Linked DNA regions of Saccharomyces cerevisiae S288C. The protein of the gene in region 2 purifies or fractionates together with the protein of the main gene of each other region. This does not show direct contact. Each region holds a gene or a part of one and is shown on either strand. Other genes may lie near its edges.

Region 1 (4,541 bases), on a different chromosome or scaffold from region 2:
TACTACTGAATTGAAAATGCCCATTAAAAAGCTGCTAACTTCCTTCAGTTCATTTGTGTTATATTTTTCCAGAAGACCGTTCTTTAACTGAATAGATATAGTACCTTGAGATGTGAAGGATCCTCTAATGGAGCGTGGTCCATAGACAGCGGTAATGAGCGATGTTTGGTGTCCTAAGCTTCTAGCTTCTACTAATGCAGATCCATTGCAGTTTTCGATGAAACCGGTATGTAGAGAAAGTTCCTGTTCACTTTCATTGCCTTTAGGTGTCAAATCTGTTGATTTCTTTTCTGGCACATGAGTAGTAGTGTTGCTAAACGCCATTGGCTTGGCAGCAGCAGGGCCTAATAACCTCCTTCTGTCTTGAACATTCATTTATTCTGATAACACCTTAATGTGAGTATGTTCCTACTTTTAAGTGGAGTATGTGCTAATCCTTAAAGGAAGTTTTCGTGGCTCAATCAAGCACAACGCCCAAGCTTTTATTTAGATATTCATTTCATATTACTGAAATTTTTTGAGTATTTTCCAAGGCCTTGTAATCTTCCGTATCTAGCGATCTCATCTCATCGTGAAAAAAAAAAGAGTAAGCCATTCGAAGAAAAGTTGGCAAATAGAGATGGTGAATGAAAGGTTTAAGAATGTATCCTATTTACTTACTAATGTACACAAAATATTATAGACCAAATTTTTCCTCAAAAATGGAATATAGTAATTAACGTAAAAAGAGAAAAAATTGAAATTGAAATTCATTTCATTTTCTCATTAATCAAATGTTTTCTTTGAACCAGCGAAAGAAGCGGTATTTCTTGATCTGCCCAATGGAGCAGTATTAGCACCAGAACCAGATGGTCTGAAACCGCCACGGCCACCGCGAGCGCCACCACGACCACCGAATCCACGGTTACCGCCACGACCACCGCCACGACCACCAAAACCACGGCTACCGCCACGACCACCATCGTTGTTTGGTCTTGGAGAAGAGAAGTCTAATCTAACTGGTCTGTTGTCAATGTATTCACCTTGTAAAGCGTCTAGAGCCTTCTTGGCGTCCTCCATGTTGGAGAATTGAACATAACCGAAACCTTTTGGTTGTTCAGTTTCTGGATGTGTTGGGATACGGACGGAAACAACTTCACCGTGTTTAGCGAATAATTCGAAAATAGCGTCTCTGTCAGCATTGAAAGATAAGTTACCCAAGAACAAAGTGTCAGATGGTTCAGATGGGGTATCACCGAATTTCTTGGCACGATCGTTGTTACCAGCTGGCTTGCTTGTGGACATATCACAGTTGATTGGTCTACCATCAATTTCCTTACCTTGCATTTCTTGAATGGCCTTTTCAGCATAAGATTTGTTTTCAAAATCAACGTAACCATAACCACGAGATCTATCGGTACCTCTTTCATAAATAACTCTGGCACCAATGACACCACCGATGTGTTCGAATTCCTTCTTCAACCATTCGTCATCAATAGACCACGATAGTCTACCAACGAAAATAGTAGCTGGTTCTTCGGTTTCTTCATTTTTTTGCTTCTTGTTGGAAGACTCTTCGTCTTCTTCTTCTTCGGCGTCCTCAGATTTACGTTTCTTATCGTTAGACTCTTCCTTTTCGCTTTCGCTATCAGAAGATGAAGATGAGGATGAATCAGAGCTAGAAGATTCTTTTGATTCTTCCTTCTTGGTTTCTTCTTTTTCTTCTTCTTCTTCTTCGTCGGAAGAAGAGTCAGAGGAAGAGGAAGAGGAATCCTTGGATTCTTCCTTCTTGGTTTCAGCTTCACTTTCGCTGTCAGAAGACGATGAAGAAGAGGATTCAGAATCAGAGGATGAAGATGAAGATGAAGATTCAGATTCAGACTCAGACTCAGATTCAGATTCAGATGAAGATGAAGATGAGGATGAAGATTCGGAGGAAGAGGAAGAGACGGCCTTAGCTTTTTCTTCTTTGGCTTGTTTGGAAGCCTTAACTTCCTTCTTGTTACCTTTTACTTTAGTAGTCTTAGCCATCTTATTTTATCCTGCCTGGGTTGAGTGATCCGAAATTGGTTAACAGTTCGTCTTTGGGAAGCAAAAGTAAGAAAAATACTACGAAAGGAAATAACTTAAGGTACCAATGGATTGGGAAGTGCAGACAGCAACAGCTACACTTAAGTACTTTTAATATTGGATTGAAAATTTTCGTTCTTGCGATGAGCTGCCCTTGCAAATTTTTCACCAAAAAAAAAAAAAAAAAAAGAAATGGAGTGAAAAAAGAAACGAAAAAAAAGGGCATGGGGACCCATACATCAGGCACTTACCCCCAGGAAGGATTACGTCTTTAAATCAGAGGATCAAAGGGTAATTAACAACCACCAGTCGAATTGCTGTCGTCTTTCTTCAATTGCTTTATCCAAAAATCTGAATGGATGTAAGTATTGCCCAGTAAGTTTTCTTGGCAAAATAACCTATAGCGAAATAGACAATCAACGTGATGGGGTTTAAATAGCTAGCGGTAAGTAACCACTAGTAGAACGTAGCTCCATAGCGTGTAATTTGGCGGCAAAATATGTGAAGCAAGCATATTCGTTATTACTTAGCTGCCTGTGAAATCCTGTCTGTGCCTTCTCTTTGCCTTTACTTTGTATAAAAACATATCAACACTGTCTCTGCGTATGAGGCCGAGGTATTTAGAGCATAAGAAAAAATGTGAACAAAAATAGTGTCATCTCCAGTAAGGCTTAAATGTATATTGATTTTCTATATATATATATATATATATATATATTTATGAAATAAACCATATAATTATAAGTAGTAGCTTGGAAAAACGCCAAAGTTGTACTTAGAATGAGGTTTTAAAAAAAAATTATAAAAAAAAACCAAGCGAGAAGTCACGCTTATAACGCAAGTGCACGAACTGCATATGTGTTGGATTGCCAAAGATCAATAGGAAGAATATATTTAGAGAAACTCTGTTTTCTTATGTATCTCGCTTACAGCCTATTTCAATGAACCAGTTTGGAATCTCTTTGCCATGAGATCAGCCTTTAAAGAGTTTGAGCCATCGAGACTGTAATTGGAAGAACGCCTTCTCCTGTCATGAAGAAGAGCACCGGATTCGGTTAAATCGCTAGACGAAATGCCGCTTAGAGAACGTGGAAGAAGAGTGTGATGTGGAAGATCGGCGGAGGGAAGGTTTCTGTTTGTTGTTGGTGCTGAGTGGATTTTAGTCTCAATGGGGAAAATCGTGTCTGAGATGCTTGTTCCGTTAGATATGGAAGCGTTCCGGCTTGACCTTCTGGCGGAATGGGAAATGTGGGTCATGGAGTCCTTGGGTGTTAAGGGAAGTACGGTGTGTCTGGATGCACCATCTGTGAGCTTTAGCTTTGGAGTGTCGAGGGTGTAACCATAATTGCAGTCATCATCATCTAGGATGGCAGACTCGCCTTCGAAAAATGGAGACGACCTTCTAGCCGGGACCGGATGGTGCAGTTGATTTTTTAACCTAGAGTTTTCTTCTTTTAAAGTTTCAATTTCCCGTAGAAGTCTTACTACAATAGCGTCTTGCTCCTTTTCCATTTCGTTTATTATTTCTTCCCTCGAAAGCCTTCTCTGTGCTGACATTGGTGACGAAGAAGGAGACGACGACGTCGAAAGTCTGCGAGGATCACGTGCTACAGCTGGTCTCATGGCTCTTGTAACTGAAGTTTGTCTCTCTCTGCATGGTTTGGCAACAGCCTTCTTGTGTTTTGATTCTTTATTCATGTTTACGGCTCTGGAGGTAGCGATCATTATACTTTATCTTCTATTAATGCTATGATTGATGAATTATACGTATGTATGTATCTGTAAGAAAATAGCCGAATGATTGATTATCTTTTCTTATATATGATTCAAGGGAACGAAAAGAAGACAAGATAATGTTAGGCAAGATAGTTTTTTAGACGACTGAGGCCGAAGATAAGCTTTATATATATGCAAGTCTATTTTTGTACGGGCGAAACCATCTAAGCCAACGATAACAATAGCCAGCTATGATCGTTGAGTACAGCGTGGGGCAATTTTTAGCGTGATTGATAAGGGCGCATTATCTCATCATCCATCGCCAATTTGGGACTCTAACGGCAAACCTCGGATTTCCGTGGAAACGCATGGAAAAATTGATCCGGGCTGTGAGGGGAGTCGAGTCAGTCACTTTTTGGCAACTCTCTCCGTCATGACCACTACTCCGCGGTAGCTGCCAAATTTGGTATTTCCAGGTTGTTTTTTGTGGACAGCCCGCGATCATATGTAAGAGCAGGATGTGTCATCCGCGGGTGAGGTAAACGCTGGCTTGCCATTATGGTTTTTTGGTACGTGTTGAACACGTTGCTTACGATCTTGGTAGGGGCGGGCTGTGATGTGAGAGCCACAAACCCGCTTCCTCGTTGTGGCTCTGGCGCTCCGTTTCTTCTTTCCCCCGCCTTGTAATATGTCGTGCATGCGTCCATGATGATATCGTATTTATTGTATATTGTGGTGATTTCGGCATATTTTAGCACATCTGTAGTATACCACAG
Region 2 (5,306 bases):
ACATGAATGATGAGAAATAGTCATCAGACTTAATAAAAGCCGAAATTCAAGGTCGATAATGTAATAGGATAGGGTGTTGAATGACAATGTATAAAAGGAACGAAGACAGAGTAATACTATTATGTAAGAAATACCGATTCCCTTGTGAGTATATAAACATAACCATTTCATTAAAATAATTTATTCAATGGTATGTATGATATTATAATAACATACTTATACTTGTCTCACTCTGTTCATAAACGCAACAATACAATTACTTTTGAATATTATCTTTAATAAATACACTTAGTAGTTACCAATAAATAATAAAATCCTTTACTAATACTAATATAAGGATTTCTATGTTCTCGAGGAGAACTCGTAGTATGTTCTGTATCCCTAATATTGTAGCCCTTAACAACAATGGAATACGAACAATTTTCTTAATATTCGGCTATTTCTGAAATATACATATTCACGGGATACTAGGAGGTCAGCATGTTACAAATTTCATGATAGTGCATCAAGAGACCCTAAAATTAATATCCTTTATGTGCGTATTGCTTTCATGGTAGTAAATTATCACTGTTTTCATCTAGACGTGGGACGGTAACATTTTCGATAAATATCAAAAGATGGCAGTCATTGTATAGAATACCACAATTTGTGAGCATCTCTGAGGTTTTTTACAAGCTTCCGTAACTCATACAGACTTCTATCGTCCTACTCTAGTATTATTTACCTATTCATAACCACTTTTTTATCCTTCTATTTAAATTTATAGATGCAAAGGGCGGAAAGAATTGACTGGAAAGTAAACTAAATATAAAAAATATCGCCAACTTATTCATACAATATCGTAGCAACTGACAACTTTTAAAAATCTGCAAAATTCTTTGTAGTGTTCCTTAATAATGTTTAAGCTAAGGTTTTTTATTAAGAGGAAAATATTGCATAATTCTATAATTTACATCAGTACAGTAGTAACATATTATCCAATTATCTATAGTGCTTTTGCTTTTTGAAGGCGCTTCCTTCCTTCGAATTATTTCTTTCTCTTGAGTGCTTTTCTGGCTTTGGCTGTAGCGGTTTAGAATTTGGAAATATTTCAAATTCTTGCTCCTTAATTAGTTTTTTCCAATCCCACATTTTTCTAACATATAATTCCAGTTTCCAATTCTTCCACACTTGCCTGCCATAAATACTATTCTTCACCTTCTCAGTTTCTAAAACTAATGCTCTAGCAATACGCTCCTTATATAATGTTAATTTTGCCGTAAATTCCCACAATTTGTCCATTATATGAGAGCCATATACATTGCATGCCAAATTTACAGACTCTTTAGACAGTATGTTCAATAGCATTTTTCTCTTAATTATGTCCACCCTAGTAGTTTGTAGTACGTGCTCAACAACATGCGAAAATACTCCATGGTAACACATTTGTATCAACCTTTCCTCAGGCAGAGCCAACATGCTGTCAATGGTAATATTCAAAAACTTGTCGTCGTAGTCAATTAATTGTTCCAAGAAAACTGATCGTCTTCTTTCTTCTGCTGTTGGCCAGTCATCTCTGGTATTGCCCAAAGTCGATGCACTCAACAACAGGCAACTTTCCAAAATATTCTTTGCATCAGACTTTTCTGGATAATATTTTTGTATTAATTGAGCAATGACATCATCCCTTAAGTAACCACCTTGTTTATTGCTTGCGTTGATAATAGCAGTACCAAAATCCATATTTGAGTTTAAAAGCATGCTTAATTCAGGAACTACTGCATCCAATATCTGTTTTACGTCCTTCTCCTTCAAATGTTCCAGCAATGCACGCACTACAAAGGCACCTGTAGTATCCCTTTTTGCTAGTTTCACAATACGGTCTTTCATATATAAACGATAAAGTCTTTCAACATATTTTAGCCTGGCAGAGCCAATCACATTTTCTAAGAAATGAGAACCGACAGGATCTGACAGTAAATATTCCAGGAATGATTCCTCCTTAGGATCCTTCTCATCTGCTGTATTGAAGACCAATCTCCAAAATGAACGGTCCCTGTCAAAAATACCTTCGACTTGAATAATGAGCTGAATTACAGGGGAAGCCACTTTATCCACACTGTACTCTCTAAATTTGGTGATAGTAGATTGCGAAATATCAGAACGCGACTCGGCACCATTAGTAAATCCTTTGTATAAAGTAGTTATTATGTCACGAAGTTCAGATTTGAAAGATTCCGGTGTTTGGTAAACTTTATTGAAATCGTCATTATCTTTAATGTCAATCATTTTTCTTGCAATTTTTGACTTTTTGGAACGTAAAGTAGAGTTCGCTTTAGTTGAATTAGGCAATGTCTTGGAAGACAAAATTAATATTAGCAATCTCAAAACATGTGATGCATACTGATGGTTCATCATAGTTTTCAAGTGCGGTTTCAGTTCATTCAACATAAAGAGAAACATATTTTCCATAGTCACATAAGGCCCTTCTTTTTCATTGTTATCAAAACTTGGTGTTAAAAGTTCTCTTTCTACCAAGGCGGCACTTCTAACAAATAAAGTCTCTAAAACATGGGAAGCATATTTATGACATGACAACCCGAAGAAAACGCCATTGAAAGATTGGAAAATGTCTTTTAACTGAGTCTCATCACATTCAAGAATAACTCGTTCCATCAATTTCGAAGTTATTTGGGAAGTAACCAATTTCAGTTCTTTACCTTTTGCTTCCTCAATAATGCTCGTGACGAATTGAAACTTTTCCTCAGGTGCTTCGAAGGCGTCTAATTGCAAAGTCGATTCGGCTTGCTTGAAATACTCCAGTTCTTCTCTATCTAGCACACCAAAAAACATTTGTGGCTGAGTCTCTTTAATTTCGGCTTCGTCATTGTAAGTAGACTCTTCTTGCTGGATGTGCTCCTTCGCAGAATTTGAACTGGGTTCAAATTCGTCCTTTCTCTGTTTGTCTTGGTGTCTTCTGCCTCTTGTTTTAGTCTTTCCCATAATAACAATAATGTGGTTTTTCCGTGAAGGTTTCAGCGTCGTTCACAGTATACTAGTTGTAACAGATCGCAGCTCATCTAATATAATTTTCTTCATTATATTGTAGATGAGCATGAAAATTCTCGCTAACCGAAAAAAAATTGAAAAAAAAAAAAGTATTACAATCATCGAACAAATATACAGGCCAAGAGTTCGTCGGTTTTGCAGGTTGCTTCTTGGTTAATGTATACAGTACATCTGCATTATCAAAAATTCAAACATTATATATATCTTTACTACTATACAGGTACACATGATACAGCCTAGCAAGTTTGAAAACTTGATTGCAATTTATGACATTATATTCTGCTGTTTGCAGGTATATCTACTTTGTAAGTATAAAGATGCAAACAAATCAGTCTTCTTGGTCCCAGTTACCTGGCCTTGGGCCTTGAGGTGCTCTTGGACCACCCGCCTTCTTTGCCATGATAATTTGGTCAATGGAAAGCACAGTAGTTGCAGCTTCTGTAGCGACGTTAATAGCAAACTTTTTCGTTGCAAGCATGTCATAAATATTTTCCTCTCTGATGTCCTTTACACCTTCATCAGATTCGCCATCAATATCCACACCTTTATATAAATGATCTGTCTTAACTGCACCAGGTTCAGTTACGTTATGTGCAGCGTATAAGTTTGGTAGTACCTCATTAACATCAAGACCAGCGGTCTCCGCTAGGGTACGAGGAACCACTTCAAAAGCCACGGCAAACTGTTTTATAGCTAACTGTAGCAATCCAGGTGTTCGTTCACCATACTTAGTTATCCTAGAAATCAATTCAATTTCGGTAGCACCAGCACCAGGCAACAACTTACCGCCTGATGGCTTCATTAGTCCCTTGACGGCTGCAACACCATCATCAATGGCTCTTTCAATATCATCCAAATTATTCTGTGTGGCACCTCTTAAAATGATAGTAGATGTTCTTGAAATTTCACCTTGCTCTTGTTTGAACACAGTTACTCTATCACCACCTATCTCCATTGTCTTAACAGTTTCCACTAAACCTAATTCTTCTGGAGTTGGCGCACCTAATCTAGGCAATGGAGTGGCCCCACAAACGCGACATAATCTTCTTAATTCGAATTTGCTTGGTACCTTCAAGACTAGTATACCGTATCTATTCAAATAATGTAACGCCAATTCACCAACACCAGCACCTGCAACAATGCATTCTACGCCCATGTCGGCAATCTCTTTCATCATGGCATCTATTTGCTTTTCCTCGCCCTTAGAAAAATCGAGCATTTCTTGTGCATTATGTAATAAAACAGTGCCTTTCGTTTCAGTATTGGCTATGTCAAGCGGACAAGTGAAAACTGCAACTTTATGCTTTTTATCTTCGGATAATGATTTTACATGGCCTTCAGGCTCACGATTGAAAACCATACCTTTGATGACGGTAGAATTGGAAAGCGATCCACCCATAATCTTTACTACTCTGATAGAATCAACATTAAAATAAGGAATTTCTCCAGCTTGCTGAGCAACTGGTAAAACGTGAGATACAGCTTCAGAAACAAGTTCACTCAATATGTCTTCAGATCCGTACTTTTTGGAGGAGATGACTGGTTTAATCATTTTCAAAAGTTCGTTTTTATCATTCTTGTCAGTAATTTCACCAACAACCATTTCGTCTAGTTCTTTCAAAGTAAACTTCCTTGCCATATTATAACCTTGAATAATCTCAACGGCAGACAAGCCCATTGAAATCAGTTTTTCGGACACATTTAATAGTTCGCCAGCCAAAATCATGACTAAATTTGTACCGTCTCCCATGTCGATCTTCTGTTGTTCAGTCGCCATTACGAGGACTTTCACTGCAGGATGGACAATATCTAGTTCTCTTAGCATGGTGGCCGCGTCGTTGGTAATAATGATTTTACCGAGATGGTTAACAATGATCTTGTTTCTACCACAGGGTCCCATAGAAGTCAAACACATTTGATGTAATTCGCGAATGGCCGCAATTGATTTAATAATTTGGCCATCGGCGTTAGAGTAACTATTGTAGCCTTGTTTAAACAATCCCGCGTTGGGATTTTGTGGCAATCTAAGTGACATGGTTAATTGATGATTTTATTGCCCTTGAGGTTCAAGTTGTCTTGTCGGTATCTGTAAAGTGAGAACATCATCATGCTATACTATTTTCTTCACTTTTTTTTGCCACTAGCGGAGGTGATGAACATTTTCGAATACCGTTAATAATGACAAAAACACCATTAACTTGGCTTATATAAAATAAGCTATTGAAATAGTAAATGTGCTCGCAACTCTTTAATTATCT

What was found.
Region 1: the proteins of NOP9 (region 2) and NSR1 purify together in Saccharomyces cerevisiae (affinity purification with mass spectrometry, with the first as the bait; 2 studies listed by BioGRID). This does not show direct contact.

Annotation. Positions count from the first base shown.
Region 1 is NC_001139.9:805,647-810,187, forward strand, and holds NSR1 (Nsr1p), read right to left. Parts: upstream 2,011-4,541; coding exon 766-2,010; downstream 1-765. Other genes in the region: exosome non-catalytic core subunit MTR3, read right to left, coding at 1-375; RTS3 (Rts3p), read right to left, coding at 2,983-3,774. UniProt on the Saccharomyces cerevisiae protein: Involved in pre-rRNA processing. Specifically binds nuclear localization sequences. Candidate for a receptor at the nucleus that may be involved in both RNA and protein transport. Binds telomeric sequences of the type (TG[1-3])n in vitro.
Region 2 is NC_001142.9:416,581-421,886, forward strand, and holds NOP9 (RNA-binding RNA processing protein NOP9), read right to left. Parts: upstream 2,983-5,306; coding exon 982-2,982; downstream 1-981. Other genes in the region: chaperonin-containing T-complex subunit CCT8, read right to left, coding at 3,377-5,083. UniProt on the Saccharomyces cerevisiae protein: RNA-binding nucleolar protein required for pre-rRNA processing. Component of the 90S pre-ribosome involved in production of 18S rRNA and assembly of small ribosomal subunit. Component of the pre-40S ribosome required for release from the nucleolus.